2 linked regions of the Rhinolophus ferrumequinum genome follow. The protein of the gene in region 1 purifies or fractionates together with the protein of each later gene. This does not show direct contact. Links are inferred from orthologs where the notes say so. Each region holds a gene or a part of one and is shown in the gene's direction. Other genes may lie near its edges.

Region 1 (7,238 bases):
CTTTCAGAAATTGTAGTAATGAAAATATATAGTTACATAAATAGGAGAAAACAATGAACAAACTAGTGGACTTCAAAGCATTAAAATACCACTTATGTCAAGAGAAAATGTTTGTTTATGATGTTTGTATCCTTGCTACTATAATTTAATATAAAAGCAGTAAAGATAGGGAAGTTTTTAAAAATTGAGAAATTATTTTGTTGAGTTGGATAGTGATGTTATCGTATAATCTCAATAAATAGCTAAACGTTCAGAAACTTGATATTGTCATGGACAGGTTATTTGTGAATTAGTGTATGCACTTATCCATTTTGTTAAGACATCTAAAGAAATAGAAAGCACAAGTTCAAAAAGCCTGCATCTGGCAGTGCCATAATATCTTTTTGTCTTTTAAATAAATGCATTTAAAACTATAACCTTACCCTTAAATGCCATTTGAGCTGATTACCAAACATCTTGATGTGTGTGTGCTCTGATAGTCATTCAGTTCTAAAGATTTCGTACTTTCTCTCATTATTACCTTCTTAACTCATGGGTTATTTGTAGTGTGTCTGGGTTGTTGTTTTTTTTTTAATATATTAGTTTTGCCATATTTTATTGTTGATTGCTCAATTACATTTTTGTTAGAGAACTTTGTGTAATAAAATCTGAGAATTGTTATGAATTCTTATGTTTCATGTGAATTTGAAAAGAATATGTAGTCTCTGTATTCTTCCCTTAAAATATATTACATTCCTTTGTTTTCATAAATGTTAGTTTTATGATTTAAAAATGTCTCCTTAAAATATTCCTATTTATTGGGTGCAGGGCTGTCTTATATCAGGCTTTTAAATTTACTCATTCAAGTCTTTTAAATCACTACTGATTTTTATCTGCCTGATCCATTTGTTTCTTATAGAAGTCTATTAAGATCTTTCTTTTTGTTAGTTATTCTATTGAGTTTTAGTTTATTTATTTTGAGAAATAATAAGAGGTATTTCCTCTTTCTTATCCTTTATCAAGGATGAAAAATCTTAATTCCTATTGCTGTGTAATCTTTGAGTACCAAAAATTCACACATTTACCTCAGTATGAACTGTATCACATACCAATATATTATATAAAGAGTATATGAAAGGTGAACTATTCATGTGTTCCATTTTATTCCCTGCTTTTAGAGGAAAAGAAGCTATATGTCAACTATTATATATCCCAGTAAAGCTAGTGGGGGTAAGAAGAAAAAAAGACATTATATGTATGTTACAAACATTTTTAATTTGACTTAAATTTTGAACTTTTAAAATTAAATTTACTCATTCAAGTCTAATATGAGTAAATTCCAGGCGAATATGAAAACTTAAAAGTAAGTCCAGGTACAGCATTTTTCAATAAGATGGCAACATTCCGTGAAAAGGTGCTTACTTGGACTTTTTTTAGCCCACCATCCAAGAATCAAACAAATACCTGAAGGGTTGGGACCATAAACTGGAACAGTATGAAAGGACGCTCGCTGTCCGACTGAATGTTACTGAAATGTTGAGATTTTGCTTATTAAAATTCACTTTTCTTTAAACATACATATGAAGGCAAATGATGTATTTAAGCCTCTGACTCAATACAGCAGGTAAGTTTGTAAAAACCACATTCCAACCAGATTTACTGAAATCTTTTTTTCTTAAAGTCTGTTTTTCAAGTGAATAGAAGCTCTGCAAACATTAAGAAATAAGTGAAAACTCTGTCTCTCAAGTATTCAGATAAGCCACCAACATCTGCACTATTTACTACTGTAGTAAATAGTAATCTGGTAATACTATTAGTAGTAGTAGTAATAGTAAATGGGGCTACGCTCATGGGTAGTGGGGAAAGAGATACCTTCTAGTGACAAAGGTGTGTAAAAATGTCTTGGGGTTTGTTGTGTAGTCTTGTATGGACCATCCACCCTCTGGCAAAATTACAACAATTATGAACAAATAGTGGGGAGCTAAATCTGGGCAGGCATTTTCCCATAGAAACCATCTTCTTATGGTTTTTTTTCTTTAATTACCTTGGCATACATTTTAAAATGCTGTGTTGATATTAATAGCCAGTCAAAGGCAATGAATTATGAGGAAGTTTATATGAGCTGATAGGTTTTTGTTTTGCTGAAATTTGTTTTCTTTTTAAAAACCAGATAAAATGAGTGATTTCTTAGGAAAATACAGTTTACCAAAATTGATGTGAGAGACAGAAAGCTTAAACGAATCAATATTCATAGAAGAAATAAAGTTTTTGAAAAATAAAGCACATAGAGGCACCAGGCCTAGATGATTGCACAAGGAAATTCAGCTAAATTTTAGAAACCAGGTAGTCCCAATATTTCTGATAATGGTATAAGTATAACATGAATACCTAATCCTGATAATGATAGCACAAAAAAGAAAACCACAGACCTATACAATTTATGATGATTCATGTAAAAATCCTAAATGCAATATTAGTAAAACTCCCAAGCCACAGTAAGAAAAAAACACACCATAACCTGGTTTTTATGCCAGAGGTGCAAGAATCAGGTTAGGATTCTGTTAGGAAATTTGTTAATAGAACATACAATACTAATAGGTCTAAGGGAAAAAAAATCATAGGATTACCTTCACAGATGCTGAAAAAGCCTTTGGAAAAAAAATTCAACACCTATTTTCTATGAAAACATTAAAAATTGCAATGAGTGGATAATTCCTTAACATGACAAACTTAAGATTGCCAGAAAAATACACATATGAAAAATGTATGTACTAAAAAATTACATGAAATTAGAATCTCATTGGGTGTCCTGTGATTTAATTTGCTAGATCTGGCAATCATAGATAAAACATACATACCTCAATCCTAAAAATGGTTCTAATTTGATGGGAACACACTAGAGGCATTTACATTAGGTCAGGAACAAGGCAAGAATTTTTAGTTTTCAGCTTCATTACAAACTTTGGAAGGATCCTTCAGAAATTCTTTCCAGCAAGTCAAAGTGTATTGGTTATGGGCCACAGAATTATGTGGAATAATAAAAGTTGGAAGGAATGAAGAAAGAATGAAGAGCATAATGTTACAAAGTACCTCAGATAAAATTTGTCCTTTTTTTAACCAATGAACATTCCAGATGGTGACAGCGTCAAAAGTCTAGAGATGGTGGCCCTATTACTGATGTAGTGTGGAAAATGTTCAGTGATCTTGACGTCTAGTCAATAATTATATGTTGTACATGGATCACCATCAATCTTAGTCTGAGACTCTGTAATAGGTAGTATCACAAGTCAAATATTTTATTCCAATAAAATTGAATCGTGATTATACCAAATTCAAAGTCAAGATTTGCCATAAAAGTTGTAAAATCTGTATGATCTAACATCTAAAAAAAAAGCTTGTGATTCAATAGTACATTTACGCTATATGTTTAATTTTAGTGTGTTGGTTTAAACTACAGGTGCTGAAAGAGACAGGCTTGGATCTGAACCTATTATTTCCACATTTACTAGTCAAAGTCTCTGGCAAGTAATTATCTTCAGTTTCTTTACCTGGACTGTTGTGGTTAAATGAAATAATGACTGCAAAACCCCTAAGAACACAGTGAGCACAATAAATATTAGCAATTCTTAATAGCATTTTGGAAAGAAATAAAGTATTTATTACGTTAACATTGAAAACATCTGCATCCCACACACCCAACGAAACAGGAAACTTCGCTGCTCACTTCGCTGCTGAGAGTTCTCTTAGTAACACATAGAACTCTAGGAAAAAGCCTGGACGCTTTTCAAAAACGTGATTTACATAAAATTCAGTACCGTGTGTGCAACAGGAGGCAGAACCCCACTGTTTGCAGAGCGGGCTGGCGCTGGGCGGGAAGAAAAGCCCTAGGACGAATAACGAGGACTCCCCGCCAAGCCTGGAGCCGGGTCCACTATACCAGGGCCGACCGACGGCGCGGCGCGAGCGCCAAAGCGGGCCCAGCGGCTGCACCGCCGGGTCGCCGAGCCGCGCGCCCCCGCGGCCGTTGAGCCCCTCGGTGCAGGTGCGCGCGGCTCGCGCCTCGGGCGCAGCCTCCTCCCCGCCCCGGCCGCACGCGCACGCGCAGTGAGCAGTCGCTGCTGGGCGGCCGCGGGCGGGATTGGTCTGGTGGAGACGCGGGGACTAAGTGGCAGCGACTGGGACATCTGAGCTGCCACTGCCGAAAACAGGCCCGCCAGACAGGTGCGTGGGCAGTAGGCCACTTTCCGGCTGCCCTTTGCGCTCGGCCTGGGGTGAGGAATCGGGAGTCATTGCGCCTTCCCCCACGGCGGGGGTCCCTGGGCCGCACCCCTTTCTTTGGCGACTCGCCAGGCTGAACAGGTTGGGGCCAGGTGAGGGGGCGGATGTTGAGTTCGGGGATGGAGGTTCCGCGGGCGAGTTCTGGGGGGGCTCTCCCGACCTCGGGAGTAGGAAGGCCAGCCCTCCGCGGCGGGAGTTGGTGCCGCGTCGTGTCCGTTGGGTCCTGCGGAACACCTGTGTCCACCTGTGTCCACCTGCCGCCCTGGGGCTCGGAAGGGCCAGGTCCCCTCCCGAGCCCCGGCTGCCCCTGAGCGCGTAAGAGGCCTGCGGGAGCCGAGTCCGTTATCCAGCGGTTACCATTTCTGCCCCGTTCCACGCTCGCGCCCCGGTGCGCGCTCCGGAGGCACCGGGGTAGAGCGGGTTGGGGGTGCATCGTCGCGACGCCGCTCATCCCTCCAGCTACGTCTCCCCAAAACCAAATAGGCTGTTTACACATTCCCCGCCTCTGTAAGGGCGAAGGGACCCAACCCTGACAGCGGTGGTGACCTGTGACTCATGTCCACTCTGCACATGGGATGCCTGGAGCCCGGCATGCGCCCCTAGGGACGGAGGGAGAGGGTTGGGTTAAATCCCAGCGAAGCCCTAATTACTCAAGACTCATTATCGCCGAAAGCCTGTTTGTGATCAGACACTGGAGCTGATTTTGTTTATAGCATCTCCCCAAGCAACAGTCATTTGTTTGGGATTTAAAAGCAAATGGCAACAAAGCTGAGAAACGGGGGAGGGAAGGTAACTCGAATGGCCATGGGGAGAGGTCTCAGAAGAGAGTTAATTTTTATTGCAACTTTTTGATGCGAAAAAGCCATCAAAACCCGATCTAAGCGTAAGATTTTTGCTTGCTTTAAAATTTTTACATCACCCTACGTCGTTGCATCATTCTGGGTAGTCCTCCCTGGTTTGGTGATTGTAAGTTTGACCTCTTTTCAGTTTACAGTTTTGCCTTCACATGGAATTGGTTCAATCTTCCAGTCACATTTAGACCTCATTCCTAAATCCTTAGAACAAGGTATTCTATATTCTTTAGCAGATAAAGTTAATTATAGTGTGTGAGTGATGTACATAGATGGATCGGTAGAAATTGAACAGTGCTGTAAATTAGCCTTACTGCTTATTTTCAGTGCCTAATAAGTTTCAGTGCTCTTAAATAGAAAGCTAGAAATGCCAACTTTAGTGGCCCATTAAATCATCTAGTTTAACCCTTTCACTTGACAAATGATGAAACAGGCCAAGAGTAGTTTTAACCCCTTAAACCTTTTTAAAAATAGAACTAGAAATTTGATGCCATAGTGCCAAGTTCTGTGTATTTTCTACCATATCATTCTGTAGTTTAGTTCCTGAAGTTGCATGACAACTAAAACTTTAAATAATAATAATTTTCAAACACAGTTTTTGAGACATAAGGGTAGTCCCCAGTCAGCCATTAGAAAGGCATATCAGTTATAAGAAATAGCATATAGAAAAGCATGAATGTGTGAAATAGATCACTATTGAAGAGAGTGAAAGAAATGAGTCTTAAAGGGGTAGAATTTATGCTGAGAGTTACAGAGAACTATTAAACATTTTTGTAAACAGGTAGTGAAGTAAGACTTGTATTTTTTGCAAAACTCATGCTAGAGAGAAGGTGGAGGACAGATTTGGAGATTGGCAAGACTGGAATTGAAGAGGCAAAGTGGGAGTTTACTAAACCCTTTTCAGAAAGGATGGGTCCCTAAATTAAGGGTGTGGCGTGGGGATAGAAAGAGACATTTAAGGAATACCCAAATGCATTTAATTACCAAATGACACAGGGGATCAGTAAGAAAGAATAGTCTTAAGATAATGGTTGACTGGAGGTGCAGTTAATGGGAGAAGGGAATTACGGAGATACAAAAACAGGCTTGGAAGGAAAGACCAAGTTCAAATTAATGGAGGCTTTGGGACATCCTTGAAGATGCATGGTGATTTGAAACTAAAAAGTGAGGTGATCTCTGAGCTGTGAATAAGATTTGGGAGTCCTTTTATAGATAGCAGCCAAGAGTATACGTAATGTAAGAAAAGCCTGGAAACAGAACCCTAAGGAACAGTAATATTTACAGAAGATTAGAGAAAGTGCCCATGAAGGAGACAGAGAAAAGGAAGAGAATCAAGAATCAGAAATGGTACCCTAGAAACCAAGGGAGAAGAGGACTCCAAGGCAGTCAGCTGTAGGCAATAGGGCAGAAAAATGCTCGTGCACTTAATTCAGACTCGGTCAATAGGAGCAGTTTCAGAGAAGCTAGGAGTAAGGAATGCAGGAATAATAAAAGTGTTAGTTTTTCACTACTGCCATTATAATGACCACAAACTTATTTTCTCACAGTTTTATGGGTCAGAAGTCTGATACAGGTCACACTGAGCTAATATCAAGGTGTCAACAGGGCATCATTTCTTACTAGAAGCTCTGGGGAGACTCCACTTTGCTCATTCGGGTTGGTGTCAGAATTCAGTTTCTTGTGGTTGTAGACTGAAATTCCTGTTTCCTTGTTGACTATCAGCTGAAGGCTGTTTTCAGCTTCTAGAGACCACCCACGTTCCTTGGCTCATGACCCCCTTACCCATCTTCAAGGTCCCTATGGTGGATGGAGTCCCTCTCTTCCAATTTCTTCTGTCCATCACTCATTGACTCCCTCTTCTATTGTTAAGGGCCCATGTGAATATATTGGGCCAGTCTGGATACTCTAGGCTACTCTCCCTATTTTAGAGTCAGCTAAGTAGCAACCTTAATTCCATCTGCAAAGCCCCAAGGATTAGGGTATGGACATCATTGTTCTGTCCACTGTGGGAAGTTAGAAGTATTAACAGTTAATGACATTCTTTCTAGAAGTTTTTGTTAAGGAAAGGAGTACCTAGACATTTATATTATGTAGCATGTGATAATTATAGTTCCAATAGTAAGCCTTACT
Region 2 (8,146 bases), on another chromosome or scaffold:
TCTGGGTATTTAACTGAAGAAGCTCAAAATGGAACTTTGAGGGGATGTGCTCATCCATAGATTCATTGCTGCATTGTTTACAGTAGTCAAGATATGAAGGCAACCTGGGTCTCTCTGAATGGATAAATGGATAAAGAAGAGGTGGTACATATATACAATGGAATATTACTCAGCCATTAAAAGAAAAGAAAGAAATCTTGCCATCTGCAACAACATGGATGGACCTAGGAGGTATTATGCTGAGTGTAGTAAGTCAGACAGTGAAGGATAATGTCATATGATTTCACTTATAAGTGGAATCTAAAGAATAAAATAAACAAATGAACCAGAAGCAAAACTCATAGAATATTTTGATGGTTGCCAGATGGAAGGGTGGTTGTGAGTGGGTGAAAAAGGGGAAGGAATTAAGAAATACAAATTGGTTGCTACACAGTAGTGATGGGGATGTAGGGTACAACATAAGGAATATAGTCAATAATATTGTAATAACTATGTATGATGTCATATGGGTACTAGATCTATCGGGGTGATAGATGGGAGGGGGTTGAGGCAGGGTGAAAAAGGCAAAGGGAGTAAGAAGTACAGATTGGTAGTTATAAAATAGTCATGTGGATGTCAAGTATAGGGAATATAGTCGGTAATATGGTAATAACTACGTATAGTGCCTGATGTGTACTAGTCAGGGCGTTCGCTTCATACTTATATAAATGTCTAACCACTATGCTGTATACCTGAAATTCATATAAAATAATATTGAATGTCAACTGAAATTGAAAAATTTAAAAAGGAGGGAAAACATAAATGGGAAATGAGAGGTTCCAAGTTCCAGGTATAAAACAAATAAGTCATGGGAACGCAATATACAGCATAGGGAATATAGTCAATGATATTGTGATAGCGTGGTACAGTGTCAGATGGTTGCTGGACTTATGATGATCACTTCTTTAGCATAGGGAATATAATCAATTATATGGCAATAACTCTATATAGTGCTAGGTGGGTACCATTGAATAACTATGATGTACAACTGAAACTAATATAATATTGTATGTTAGCTATATTTTAATAAAAATTATTAACGATTTTTTTTTCTTGTTCCCCATCTCCTCCACAGTCTCTATAATCCAAACTCTTCTATCTTGATTAGTGGAGGAATCACCCTGGATTCAAATCTTGGTTTTGGCTGAGTCACCTCGGGTAAGTTACTGAACATGCTTTTCTTAACCAAGTGTTACATCTGTAAAATGGGGGAAATACTATGATTTTTTTCACAGTGTTTTTGTAAGAACAAAATAAGATTTATTGATGTAGAGTTTAGCACAATAACCAGGACATAAATTCCTTATAAATGTTAGCTACTATTATTACTATCATCTTATGCCTAGATTACTGAAATATCCTGTCTTTCCATGCTTACTGTTGCTCCTCTCCAATCTTCTCCCTACAGAATAACTACAGAGACTTTTAATGTAAATCTGATCATGTGCTTTTCTTCCTAGAAACCCATTAATGATTTTATAGGCTTTTAGAATAGACAGACTCATCTTATCACTCTTGCCCCTAAATCACTATGCTTTAACCAAATTGGCTTCAGGCTCCTTAGACAGTTCACGTTCACTCCACAATATTTCCCTTTTTTGAAACCCCTCTGCAAATTATAGTTTAATCCTAAATATCCTTCAGACTTCAGCTGAAAAGTCACTTCTTTCCGAAGGCTGGTCCCACTATTTTGCATTCTCATTCTACCATGTTCCTCTTTGTCCCAGAACTTCTCACTTTGTACACATTTATATGACTGACTACTTTTATTAGGGTGGTAATTGTGTTTTTGGCAATTATTTTTAACCTTTTAAACCGCAATTACTTTGCACCAACCTAATTTTATTACTATACATTTGTTTCCTCCAACAGACATCTTAGACTGAGCTCCTGATATTCCTCCCATCCAAGGCTGCTCCATTCACCATCTACTCATCTAAAAAAATAATACCACCCTTATTCCACTTGCTCAGGCCCAAACTCTTGGATTCTCTTTCATACTCCATTATCCATTAGCAACTTCTATTGCCTCCTCAGAATTCAACGATTTTCCCACCATTTCCACTGCTACCCATTGTGGTCAAAGCCTTATCATCACTTTCCGAATTTTTGTGTTATCTCTTAACACATTTCTTTGCTTCTTTCATTGTCTCTACCACTTACCCCTTGTATATTTACAACAAGGCAGCTAGACTAACCATTTAAATATACATCAAATCATGTCATTCCTCTACTCAGACCCTCAATAATTTGCCATCTGCTGGGGACTGAATGGTGTCCCCCACTCCCCAATCCGTATATTGTAGCCCTAACCTATGTGACTGTATTAGAGATAGTACCTTTAAAGTGGCTAAGATTAAATGAGGTCATAAGGGTGGAGGACTGATCTGATAGAACTGGTGTTCTTAAAAAGAGACACTAGAGTTCTCTATTCACTGTGTGAAGACGCAATGAGAAGGTGACGGTCTGCAAGCCAGGAAGAGGACCCCACACCAGAATCTAACGTTGCTGGCACCCTGAGCTGACTTTCTAGCATCTAGAACTGTAGGAAAATTTCTGTTGTTTAAGTCACCAAGTCTACGGTATTTTGTTATGGCAGCCCAAGTTGACTGATACTCCATCCCACTCAGAGTACAAGTCAAAGACCTTCCAACAGCCTAAGAAGTCCTACACATTTTGGTCTGTCATGCCCCCAACCTGTGAACCCTCCAACCTGTAAACTCTCCGACCTAATCACCTTTGATTCTCCCCATCCCTTAAGCAGCTTCAATCACACTGGCCCACATGCAATTCCATGAACATGTCAGACATGCTCTCATCTTTGGGCTTCTGTTTTTCCTTTGCTTGGCACATTCCTTTCCTAAATATTTGCATCACCCACTTCCTCACTCAAATGTCACCTTCTCAGTGAAAACTTCTACCATCTCAATAGCACATACATATCCTTTTCCCCTTTCCTCAGCATTCCAAGCATGCTGTATATTTCTATGTATTTCAATGTTCCTCTAGCATGCCATATATCTCTTTATCTTGTTTATTGCCTTGCTTTCTCACCCTAGATTATGAGCTCCATGAGAGAAGGGATTGTCTGTTTTGCTCACTGCTAGATCCCCAGGACACAGACCACTTCACAGTAGGTGCTTACCATTTGTTCAGTTCAATGAATGTTGAATTCCAACAGCCACCTAATTAGTTTTGCACACAGGTCAGCTACAAAGGCTGCAATCCCCTAGTAGGAACAGCACGGCTTAAAGGACCACTTGATTTTTCTGGCCTTTTCTGGTTTTCTGCTAATATTACTAAAGCTCAAGAGCAGATTTGAAAACTGGCTACATGATCCAAGAGCTACATGATCCTTCCTGTCTCCATCTTTATAATAGAGATAATAAACTGTGATGAAAAGTTATGCAGGTCAAATAAGATCATGGTTATGACAATTTTTTAAAAACTACCTGGTTGCAGCTTTCTTTACAGTATTGTATTTCAAAACAGTTCGGCAAACTCTGCAGCTGTTTGATCATACTTCTAGGGTTCGGCAAAAGATGGTGTTTATCCTCAAAAATAAAATTTAAAAATACATAAATAAAAATCAAGTGATTGAAGAAGCCATTCATTGTTACCTGTTTTTATGTAGGGTTGTGGGTAGAATTTAGGTTAAAAATGGATTCTGCTGCAACTTTCTTAAGTTGCAAAAATAATTCTTTTCCCGTACCTTTTACAAAAGAGAAAAATCGACCGCCGAGGAGTACCTCTGTTTGAATTAAAACAGGAATAATTCTTCACAACTTAAACCATGCTGAAACTTCCCAGTTACTGCTTTTATTATACCCATCTCTAAGCTTCCTATCATTTTTGGAAATGCCTCCTTACAAAAAGGTATCCCAACTAACCTCCTTTCTCACCTTCAAACATCACAGCTTTTAAAATAAAGGTGTCATCGGAAGTTTGCACACACCCAACTGCATTAGGACTGGAACTGGTTTTTGGTTATGCAAATCTAACACTGCCAGGCGTGTGAGTTTACCGCCTCAAAGGCGGCACAGAGGAAATCCTGTTTTCCCCTAGGCTCAGGCCTGAATTGAATGCGGGGAGTCGCGGCGGGAAGGAGCTCCGCCGAGCAGGCCTCGCCGAGGGGCGCACCTCGCCCGCAACTCCGGAAGCACCTGCGCGCGGGACAGGAAAGCGCCCGGCACCACCCGGAGGAGCCTGGGGCAGCAGGCGGCTCCAGTACCGCCGCGGGTACCGCGCGCCTGAGGGGAAGCGGCCCTGTAGCCCTGCAGCATCTCGCGAGATCTCGCCGGCTCACCCCAAGTACTGCGAGCTCAGAACTTAAAAAAAAGCCAGCGGGGAGAGCCCCTAGAGCCGCCGCTGTGGTGGCAGCTACCGCTGGAGCATCAGCAGTCGGCGTGCCCCGAAGCAGGGCCCGCGCGCCCCTTCGCCGGCCGTGCCGGGAGCCGTCCGCAGCCTGGGCTGCCGTGGCCTGGGCTGTCGGCTCGTAGACGCACAGCCCCAGGGGCGGGGAGACGGGGAGGCGGCCGGGGGGCCTGCTCCTCATCACCGCAGAGCGGGGCGGGGGAAGGAGGTGGAGGGAGATGGGAGGAGGGCGACGGAAGGGGAGGTAGCGGCGCGGATATCTTCCCGGCGACGGCGGTCAGGAGGCCGCGCCCGCTGCCCGGTCGCTCTGCTCGTGCTGCCGGAGGCCCGGCGCGGACTGGCTGGACGCGGTCTTGACGCTGGCCGCTCTCGCGTGGGGCAGCGCAGGACCCCAGGAGGGCAGAGGCGCCCAGGGACCGTCCGCCGAGTGCCACTGCAGGACCACGGGTGGGCGGGCTGAGGGGCGGAGGAGCTTGGGGCCCCGCCTCCCGCGTGCTGCAGCGGGAGCCTCCACCGCCGCGGCCCCGGCGAGGCTTTAAACAGCGGGGCCCGCCCCGCGGCCGCTGCACTCGCGCGCTGACTCGGCTGCTGACGGTGTTCGTGCCGGCCCGGTCGGGCTAGCGGCGGAGAGCGGGCGACGGCGAGAGCGACTCCCTCATCTGACGTTGCGGCCGCGGCCACCGCCGGCCAGGGGCACGGAAGGCGTGCTGCCCGCGACGTCCGCCAGGCTCTCCGGGTCCTCCGGGGGTCGGGCAGCGATGGAGCCGAGGCCTACGGCGCCCTCCTCCGGCGCCCGGAGGCTGGCCGGGGTCGGGGAGACGCCGCCAGCCGCTCCGCTGGCTGCCTCTGGGGTGGACCTGCCCGGCACGGCTGTGTCCTCGATGCCGGAGGATGCTGCGGCCGCTAGTTTGGGCGGCGGCGGGGTTCGCGGTGAGGGCGGCGCGGCGGCCGGGGACGGGCTGGGCAGACCCTTGGGGCCCACACCGAGCCAGAGCCGCTTCCAGGTGGACCTGGTTTCCGAGAACGCGGGGCGGGCTGCCGCGGCGGCGGCAGCGGCCGGTGCGGCGGGGAGCAAGGAGACCCCCACGGGCGGGAAAGTTAGCGGCGAAAGCGGGCCGGCCAAAGGCAGCGAGGAAGCCAAGGGCCGCTTCCGTGTGAACTTCGTGGACCCGGCTGCTTCCTCGGCGGACGAGAGCCTGTCGGATGCGGCAGGGGTCGGAGGCGAGGGGCCCAACGTGAGCTTCCAGAACGGCGGGGACACAGTGCTGAGCGAGGGTAGCAGCCTGCACTCGGGCGGCGGCGGCAGCGGGCACCACCAGCATTACTACTATGACACCCACACCAACACCTACTACCTGCGCACCTTTGGGCACAACACCATGGACGCCGTGCCCAGGATCGACTACTACCGGCACACAGCCGCGCAGCTGGGCGAGAAGTTGCTCCGGCCCAGCCTAGCGGAACTCCACGATGAGCTGGAAAAGGTGAGCTCTCCCTGCAGCCCTCCTGTCGCCAGTCCTCCCTCCTTCCCCAACCTCTGGTCCGCGCTGACCGCGGCATGTGGCCGCCGGCTCTCCACGGGTGAGGCGGCGGGAATGAACGTGCACGACTCGCTGGCATCTTTGGATTCAGCTGTCAAGGGTGGAATTGCAGAGGAATGTAACTTAATCTCTTAAAAGTTTGCAGCGGGTTAGGCTAGTTACGTGATACAGGAGAGGCTGCATTTAACAACCTTCCCCATCCAGTTATGTATCTCCTGTACGCTTTGTTTCTCACCCACGCTTAACAATTACCATCCCTTTGAATGACAGTTATGCTTGTGGGACCCGGGAAGGGAATGTGCAGGAGGTTTAGGTGAGGACGTCTCTCGGGAGAGAGTGGAAAGCACCTACCATCTGTGTCCTTTTTAAAGATTGTATTGTATGGCTTATGTACACCCATTAGGGGTCCCAAGAGTGGGAACTTCAGTGTTTCAAGGAAAAATCTTAACAGGATGTGTTTGTGGTCTATGAATTATTAAAGCTCAATTCCTGCAGTCTTGAATATGCAAAGATCATAAATCTTGGGACACGCTGTTCCTGATAATGGCATAAATCCATTTTTTAATGTAAACCTTTTGGGAGAGGGCTATATCAAAATAATATAGGCGGGGGATGAGGGGAAGCGGGGCGCAGAGTCGAGAGAGAGAGAGAGAGAGAGAGAGAGAGAGAGAGAGAGAGAGAGAGAGAAAGAAAGAAAGAAAAGAGAATAGAGAATTGGTTTTTTTCTGTGGAGGAAGTCCAGAAAGACTTTCTAGGGTCTTGCATAAGTTGTTATTACTCTGCAAACAGAAAGCCATCCCTATAAATTCTATTGATTTCTGTAATTCTATTTTTTTATGGCCACATATGACTTTTATTTCTTTAGGGTACAAAATCATTATTTCGAGATAACATTGATGCTTTTGAGGTTCAGTTAATATTTAACTTTTTTATGAGTTGGGATTACTTCAAATCTGCTTTTACAAGTGTGTAATGACTACATTGATGGAATTTTGTGAATGCAAAGAGTTGGTACCATACAGGTTGAAATGATCATAATGTGGAAAAGTTTAAATACAGAATTGGATATGATTATTTGAACTCACAGTCATTTCGTACAAGACTGTACTTGTCCCAGTGTTTGATAATGTAACATTCATACAGTTTGAAATACTTACAGAGGTCCCAACCCTTACAGCTTATTGATTGTTTAAAAACCTGACATCATTTAGCTTTGGATAATGCTACTCCTGTTATTCCATTGTGGTATTTTGTCATATCAGAAGAAAAACAATTTTTAAAACACTTCTTTTATTCATACACTTGTAGTTTCTCTCAGATCTGTTTTTTTTTCTTTTCAAAACTCAATCTTTGTAAAATACATTCGTAGCTGGTAATTTTCCCTTTTTAAGAGAACTTTTATACTGAAAATATTACACAGATACATTTCAGATTTATTTCACCAAAGCCTAGTAGTTTTAGCAGTAAAGCACTCTATATTTACCCATCAGTTTTAGAAAGGCTTTTTAAATTGAAGGATATTATATTCCTTGAACTTGTATGCTTCCTAGGAAAGTTTTTATTTTAAATTATCTAGTAAGAAAGCACTGGAAATTCTCTAACACTTCAGGGTTGTTTTTGTTTTGGCATTTTTGGTTAGTTTACAGTGTCTAAAAAAAGAAGACCTGTATTGCTAGCTGTATAGTACTTGAACTCACGCAGACTGTCAGCCTGAGCTTTCTCAGCTTTCAGGGTTATTTTGAAGATTGGTGGGGGGGGGGGAAATGCACATAAAGACGCATGTTCAGTGCCTGGAAAATAATGGCTAGGGTAGTTAATTGCAGTCTTCTATCGATTGACCCTTCAGAATGTATGTGGTTAAACTCTAGGATTTCAATTAGATTCTCAATTCCTACATTATCAGATTAATGTATATAAAATGTTCAGAGTTTCATTTATGCAACAGGTAGTATAATGAATTCTTTGTAGTTTTTTATCTTCTACCACTCGGGTCCTTTATGTCCCACCCCCCCGCCCCCCCAAAAAAAGATTTATTAGGTTAACTCAGCATAGAGCCTCCTATTGAAGATACTTTTGTTTAGAATTTAGAAATGTTTCATGTTAAGGAGTACAAATCTGGCTATAGAGATACACCGTTGTTGAAGGAGGGCAGAAGAGGGGTGATAGCATAAGTTGTCTAGATCCCCAAAAGT

The links.
Region 2: the proteins of CLGN (region 1) and SLC12A2 purify together in Homo sapiens (co-immunoprecipitation; 3 studies listed by BioGRID and IntAct, with this or other methods). This does not show direct contact. The link is inferred for Rhinolophus ferrumequinum from reciprocal best matches to the Homo sapiens genes CLGN and SLC12A2.

What each region holds. Positions count from the first base shown.
Region 1 is NC_046301.1:16,067,889-16,075,126, reverse strand, and holds the start of CLGN (calmegin), read left to right. Parts: upstream 1-4,232; 5' UTR 4,233-4,349; intron 4,350-7,238. UniProt on the Homo sapiens protein: Functions during spermatogenesis as a chaperone for a range of client proteins that are important for sperm adhesion onto the egg zona pellucida and for subsequent penetration of the zona pellucida.
Region 2 is NC_046290.1:88,519,210-88,527,355, forward strand, and holds the start of SLC12A2 (solute carrier family 12 member 2), read left to right. Parts: upstream 1-4,985; 5' UTR 4,986-5,171; coding exon 5,172-5,897; intron 5,898-8,146. UniProt on the Homo sapiens protein: Cation-chloride cotransporter which mediates the electroneutral transport of chloride, potassium and/or sodium ions across the membrane. Plays a vital role in the regulation of ionic balance and cell volume.